Linked DNA regions of Sus scrofa. The protein of the gene in region 2 purifies or fractionates together with the protein of the main gene of each other region. This does not show direct contact. Links are inferred from orthologs where the notes say so. Each region holds a gene or a part of one and is shown on either strand. Other genes may lie near its edges.

Region 1 (3,920 bases), on a different chromosome or scaffold from region 2:
CCAGGAAAGTGCCCATGTGATAAAACCAGCGCTGCTGCTGAGTCCACAATCTCCCCGCAGCCCCTGGCTTTAAGTCCACAGCCACTGAGCTCCTGGACAGGGACACCCCTGTGGAAGGAGACGCATCTCACCAGAGCCTCGCCTCTCGGGGAAGGTGCAGGCCCCTGGTGAGCATTTCCTGCCCTGGCAACGCACCATCCCCACCCAGTGTGTGACCTTCCCCAAGAGTGAGAGGCTTCCAGGCCTCTGAGGCCGTGGGCTGTTCCCCACCCCTCCCCATAGCAGGAAGTGAGGGCTAGTGAGGGTCTGGAGGGCGTGATGAGGTGCTGGGAGGGTGGGTGGAGGTGACCCCTAATCATGTGGAAACTGCACTGGGCTCAGCCACATCCTTCAAGGTATTTTGGAAATTTGGGGGTCAAAGCTATGTCCTGGCTTTTGGGTCTGAATTGCTGACACAATTTGGCAGGCAGGGCTTCTGGCCCAGAAGGAAGGGAGAGGGCCCTACCCTCACTGCCGGCCCAGAAAAACCAGCCCCAGGGTTGCACTGGGGCCTGCAAGAGCCCCCAGGCTCCCTGGCTGGGATTGTTCCTCGCAGGTGATTTGCCTCAAAGCCACCTTTTGGTCATATCCCTGCCCCACAGTTGCCTGGATGAGGTCTTGAGTGGACCCTAGAGGTGGCCCAGGCAGGCACTGAGGTGCCTTTGGTGGGTATGCTGGGCTGGTGGCCAGTTATGGCTGGAGTTGGATAACAGTTGTGGATATTCAAGTATTTGGAAACAAGAGTCCAATGTTAAAATGGCAGCCATAGCCTAGGAAACAATTTGCACTTGCCCTTTAACATGCTTAACTTTCAGCCATTTAAATGATGCCGAAGTGATTCTTTTTTCTAAGCCCTTGTCATGTGACTGCAAGTAACTGTAGCACCAATTTAGAGAAAACTCATTCTCGGCCCAGCCCAGGGAAGGAGTGGCCTACAAGGATGAGGTCGGCAAGGCAATCCCTGGGAGACACTGCTGCCTTTCCCCCGGGGCCTGGGTGCTCACCTAAGACTTGGGCGTTCAGCTGTTTTCCTAACAGCAAGGCTTCTGACTTGGGGTTTTTACTCACACGGTCTTCCCAGCAGTTCTATTTATATCAGCATATCCGAGTTGGGACTGACATTCCTCAAGGACATTAAAGCTACTGGAAAGGTCTTAATTCCAACCCGTAAGGGATCATCTGTACAACATGCTGGTGGACTCGGCTTCAAGAACCCGGCTGTCTGGACACATTTCAGACATCTGTGGGTGATTTTTAAGATGCATGCCAAACGTGTGTTTTGCTTTCTCCAATGATTTGTAATATACCTTTTATGACTGGAAACTTTTATACAACACTCCAATAAACATTTTGGTTTTAAAAATCTCCCTCTGAGTTCACTCCGACGCCAGCCAGCTGGAGCGGGAGCTCTCATCCTCTAATGTTCCTAGTTTGACCCGCTATCCTAGTTTTTGGCATTCCTCACCCACGGGTTTCACCAACGCCCCTTTGGCCACGTGACACGCCCATGTCCCTCCCCGGGCTCAAGGTCTAGTGTAGAAGTGCCCGCCGCCTCGTGCGCACGCGCGGCGAGACCCGCGGGGGGCGGGGCCTGAGCGCGGAACCCTGGGCCTCCATCCGTCTCGGGGAAATCGGCGGCGGCCTGCTCCTGTTGCGCATGCGCGGGACTCCCCCCGCGCGGTAAGGGTATCCCGCCCGCCCATGCTCCCTCGTGCCCGGACTCCATTTCCCGTGGGTCCACGGGGCGGCCCACTTCCGGCGCGGGTTGGGGAGGGCGCACGCGGCCGCACTCCAGTTGACTTTGCGGAGATATGGAAGGCGGCTTTGGCTCGGATTTCGGGAGCTCCGGCAGCGGGAAGCTGGACCCGGGGCTTATCATGGAGCAGGTGAAAGTGCAGATCGCCGTGGCCAACGCGCAGGAGCTGCTGCAGGTTCGGGGCCGGGCCGGGGGCGGGGCTGAGGGTGGTCGGGGCCCCTGGGAGAGGAGTCGCAACTGAGCGCTCGTGTGTCCCCACAGAGGATGACGGACAAGTGCTTCCGGAAGTGCATCGGGAAGCCGGGGGGCTCCTTGGACAATTCGGAGCAGGTAAAACCCAGGGAGCCAGACTGGTCGTGGGCCCCGACCGACAGGGAGGTCTCTGCGCCTGCGCGGACTAACGGGGCGGTGCGGTGGGCACGTGCGCAGTCCGCTGCTGGGAGTGTTGGGGGTCCCAGCCAGCGGTCCAGACCTGAGCCCCGCGCCCTCCCCGTCCCTAGAAGTGCATCGCCATGTGCATGGACCGCTACATGGACGCCTGGAACACCGTGTCCCGTGCCTACAACTCTCGGCTGCAGCGAGAACGAGCCAACATGTGATCGCGACGCGCCAGCAGCCCACTTCCCACCCCACCCCACTCCCAGTTCCATCTCCATAAATGCTGTTTGTGAGGCGGGGGCCAACGTGTGCGTGCTGCCTGCCAGAAGTTTATGAGGACCAGACTGGTGCTGGGACAGTTGGTATTCTGTTTCTCCGTGCCCCGTTCGCGCACACGTGCCGGCGAGTGTAACTTGCGTCTGGGGGGCCCCTGGCCCGGGTGGTGCCTTCCCTAGTGCCCCTGTTACCGAATTGTGTCATATGGACCCTGTTGGGGGCCGGCTTAGGCTCTATGTCTCCTAGGGGGTGTTCTTTTTCTGTTCCGTGGAGCCTGAAGCTGAGATGGACACAGCACAAGCTTTATTCAGCAGTTAAAGTATGGAGACGCGTGAACAAACGAACTCACAGATCAGCTTCTTAGCTGGCGAGAGGGGCTTAATTTTAACAAGGAGGCCTGTGTGTATGTCTACGCGGGAAGGGGCTGAGCTTTTTCCGAGGGAGTGGGGTGCCACCTCTTTTTTATCTTTTTTGGTCTTTAATGTCTGGTCGAGGCTGCGGATGCGTGTGTTATTTAATAAGCTAATGTAGTAAAATCCACACATAATGAGACAGCGTTTGTTGGAAGTCAGATTTGCCACCATTTTCCTCCCAGCAGGGTTTCGTGGTTTTGTTTTTGTGTGTATGTGTCTTCGTGTTCTATGCATTAGGATTAACTGAAAGTTAATCTTTAAAGATTTCTGTTCACTCCTACTAAAAGGTGGGGTGGTGGTTGGCAGGTTTTGAGCAGGGACCTCCTTCCTGCAAAAGGTCAGGGTGGATAGGTTGTGAGGAAAGGGCTGGAGCAGCTCTGGTGACAAACTACTCCCTTCCTTATTATTGCTCATTCCTTTTTTTTTTTTCTTCTTCTTTTTTTTTTTTTTTTTTAATGGCTGCAGGTGAGGCCTATGGAAGTTCCTGGGCCAGGGATTGAATTCAAACCAAAGGACTTCCCTTGTGGCTCACAACATAACTACATGGTGTTGTTTCTACAGTGGCTGTGGTTCTGTCCCTGGCTCGGCAATTTCCATATGCTGCAGGAGTGGCCAGTTGTTATAAAAAAAACAAAAAGAAGAAGAAGAAGAATGAATCTGAGCCAAAGCTATGACTTACGTTACACCTGTGGCAATTCAGGATCCTTTAACCTGCTGTGCCAGGCCAGAAACTGGAGCCGCTGCAGCCAGATTCTTAATCTACTGTGCCACAGTGAAAACTCCCTGCCCTCATTCTTTTTTTTTTTAATTTTTAAATTTTATTTATTTATTTATTTATTTATTTTTGTCTTTTTGCTATTTCGTGGGCCGCTCTCGCGGCATATGGAGGTTCCCAGGCTAGAGGTCGAATCGGAGCTATAGCTGCCAGCCTACGCTGGAGCCACAGCAACGCAGGATCCGAGCCGAGTCTGCGACCTACACCACAGCTCACGGCAATGCCGGATCCTTTAACCCACTGAGCAAGGGCAGGGATCGAACCCGCAACCTCATGGTTCCTA
Region 2 (3,242 bases):
CATGGGTGGGCTTGGTGCTTTGCGGGCGCCCTCTGGAGAAAGCGGCTCCACCTCTCCCCACAGCAGGAGCCCCTCTCCGGAGCCATCTCTGCTCTGCAGCAGGTCCAGAGGTGGAGGGCAGAGACCGGTAAGCCTGGGGTCTGCTGGGTGGAACTTCGCACTGGCCCAGGGAACACAGGCACAAGGCTGATGCCCCTTCCAGGCTCAGGACCCTCCCAGAGCCTGCTGAGTGTAGAGAAGATTAGACAAGGTACCCTATGTGTGGGCGGCATCCATCCTCAAACAAGTCCTGTGTCCCCACCAAGGAACCCACTTTGGGAAAGTCATCTCTGACCGCTCAGACAGAGACTCAGAGACTTGCGGACACTTGGAGCAGCTGCAAGGACCGGCAGTCCAGGCCCACTCTCAGTTCAGTTCCCAGGAAGCCAGGCCTTAGGGATGGGAAGTGGGTGGGGGCAGTCTTTGTTCCGGGGCCCTGCCCCCACCTAGTCCTGCCTGGTCAGTGCCCAGGCCTTGGAGTCCCCCTCCCGCTCCCCTCAGCCTGGCGGTGTTTGGCTAGGGACTTCCCTGCTTGTCACCAGGTGGGGTTATCTTGCCTAACTGGTCTGAATGGAGAGCCCAGAGGTGGGATGGGAAGCACCCACCGGGAGGGGTGGTGGGAAAAGCAGCCCTGCTCAAGGGCCCTAAGGGGTGAGACTTGATAAGATCCCACCAAGAATGCAAAGGGAGGAGGTCCCTGCTGGCTCAGTGGGTTGAGAATCCACTGTTGTCACTGCTGTGGCACAGGTTCAATCCCTGGCCCAGGAATTTCTGCATGCCATGGGCCAGGCCAAAAAAAAAAGGCAGCTGTTAGGACACGAGGTTCAGCAAATGGACAGGCAAGAGTGGAAACAACCTTGGCCTAAACAGTTATCACTCCAAACTTTATTGCTCAGAGTCCCCTGCCGCGAGAACTCCACAGTACCAAGGCTGTGGTTCTGCAGGAACAGGGGCTGCGGGTCTCCCCTTGGGGAGCACTATGGCTCGATGTGGATAGGTGGACAGAGGCCACCTTGGTGAATGTGGGGATGAACTTCTCCCCAGGAGGACTCTCAGGGGACACCCTCTCACCCCCAGGAATTGAGGCTCGCAGGCCCCTCACCACACAGGGATTCACAGTTGATTAATGCTACATGAGTCCGGATTAGCACCCCACCAAAAGAAGAGGCCAGGCCGAGGCGATGGGTGGGGGTGGCATCTCATCTGAAAGGCATCTGGAGGAAGCTTGATGGGTCACATGCATGGAGAAGGGTCAAGAGTTGAGTCCTGTCACCTGGCCTGCCCTCCTCTCCTGGAAGGCGGCCACGAAAGTGCTTTGAGGTCATCAGAGTGCAAAGTGCAGCTGGCAGTGCCCCCGAGACCAGGGGGGACAGGGTCAGTGAGCGTGGTGCCCGAGCCGTGTCTTAGGAAGCTGGGGTGCAGATGCTGAGAGCCGCGGCCTGGGGAACAGTAGCACCTGTGTCCGCCGCTTTCCTTCGCGTCTGTTGTGCACCAGTCCCGAGAGGCCTCGTGTCCGACTTCACTTCTACACACAAGGGAGCTGCGGGCCAGCTAGGTCAGGGCAGTGCTGGGCCTGCGCTTGGGGCTCAGGGGATGCTGCTCTGGGGAGGACTGGTGGCCAGCAGCAAAGGGGCACGTGCCTAGGCACTGAGAACCATGTCACCTGAACGACTTCTTTGGTCCTTGGCTGAAGCTGAACTCAGCTCAGGGCCTGGGTTGCAGCACCCTGAGAAGTGGGGTGCTCTCTCCCGGGAGATCCCCCAGTGGCAGGCTCTCCTCCCTCCCTGACCTGGTCTGAAAAATTTCTGGAGCTAAAAAGGCGTTTGATGGCCAGGCAAGACCGGGCAAGGGGCTCAGAGGGCTCCCCATGAACCCCAGGGCAGGGACGCCTGCCGCCCAGTCCTGTACTGGGCCTGCGGGTGGGTCATTAGACGCTACACACCCTCATACCTGCCTGGAGGCTGAGGGAGGGGCTCGCCCACCCCTCCCTGACCCGGTGGAAGCCGTTCTCCCCTGACTGCCAGCACGTAGTCACTGATCCTAACGGGTCAGGCCAGCCTGTCAGGACCAAGGCAGAAAAATCCTCTTTGTTCCCAGAGGGAAGAGGCCTCCTGCCTTCCTCCTCTTCCTCAGGCAGGCTCAGGCAGCACACAGGTGGGAGATCCTGGGAGGTGTTTTGTGAGCCCCACCTTACTGCGGCCAGTCCCTGGTCCTACCGCTGAGCTAGGGGCTGGCAGACCCCTGGGGGCAGAGCCTGGGTCGCAGGGGTGGCACTGAGCACCAAGAAGGAAGGCTGCTTCTGGCTGAGTGGAGCCGGTGGTGGAAGGCGGGTTAGGGCCTGTTCTCCAGCTGGCCGTGCTTGACCCTCCAGCTCCAGGCGAAGCTGCCGTCAGGGGCCAGGGTACACTGCAGGTCGATGCCTGAGTCTGGCACCTCCATGTCATAGCGCACGGGCTGCCCGTCCTTGGTGACCAAGCTGAAGGCTGCGGCTGGGATCTGGGGGCAGAGCAAACCAGAGGCCTCAGAGCGGCAGGGGAGCTGAAGCTTCCTGGGAGTACAGAGCGGATGGTCTGCCTTCGCGCCGGGAGACACCCACCTCTGGCCGAGCCGGCAGCCCTGACTATCTGCACTATCTGCCTTTCCTTCTGGAAGACCTGACCCGGCCCAGGTACAGACCCTGAGGAAGCAGTCTTGCCCTGGGACCCTGGGGGGACCTCCCAACAGTGCCATTCCTACTTATTCCAAAGCCTCTTTCCTGGAGGACTGGGCGAGGCGCGCTGGATCCTGGGACTCCGCCCCTGAACAGGCACCTGCCCCCTTACCTGGCTGCTGATGCCAGTTGCGATGTCTCCCACCTTGACCCGGTGGAACTCCCGGATGTGCAGGTGTTCGCCATTGAGAGACTGGATCTGGACTTTCACACCTGGAAGGCAGGCAAGGTCACCGTCAGGGGAGCGGCTGTGAGCTCCCTAAGGAACCCAACGTGGAGTGAAGTGGGGGGGCTCTGAGGACGTTGCAGGGGCGGCCTTTAGGATGCTGTGGCCGCAATGTTACACTCCTGCCAGCTCTTCCTGGCCATCGTCCGTCGACACTGGGAATTTGGCCCACACCATGCAAAGAGCTAAGGTTGGCTGCTATGGGAAAGCAGAAGGAACTGGAGACTGAGATTCTTAAATTACTGTGGGCAAGTGAGACTGTAATGT

Evidence for each region.
Region 1: the proteins of MAP3K14 (region 2) and TIMM13 purify together in Homo sapiens (affinity purification with mass spectrometry; 3 studies listed by BioGRID and IntAct, with this or other methods). This does not show direct contact. The link is inferred for Sus scrofa from reciprocal best matches to the Homo sapiens genes MAP3K14 and TIMM13.

Annotation. Positions count from the first base shown.
Region 1 is NC_010444.4:76,145,163-76,149,082, forward strand, and holds TIMM13 (mitochondrial import inner membrane translocase subunit Tim13), read left to right. Parts: upstream 1-1,783; 5' UTR 1,784-1,850; coding exon 1,851-1,970; intron 1,971-2,056; coding exon 2,057-2,125; intron 2,126-2,295; coding exon 2,296-2,394; 3' UTR 2,395-3,001; downstream 3,002-3,920. UniProt on the Homo sapiens protein: Mitochondrial intermembrane chaperone that participates in the import and insertion of some multi-pass transmembrane proteins into the mitochondrial inner membrane.
Region 2 is NC_010454.4:18,180,594-18,183,835, reverse strand, and holds the end of MAP3K14 (mitogen-activated protein kinase kinase kinase 14), read right to left. Parts: intron 2,963-3,242; coding exon 2,862-2,962; intron 2,536-2,861; coding exon 2,371-2,535; 3' UTR 905-2,370; downstream 1-904.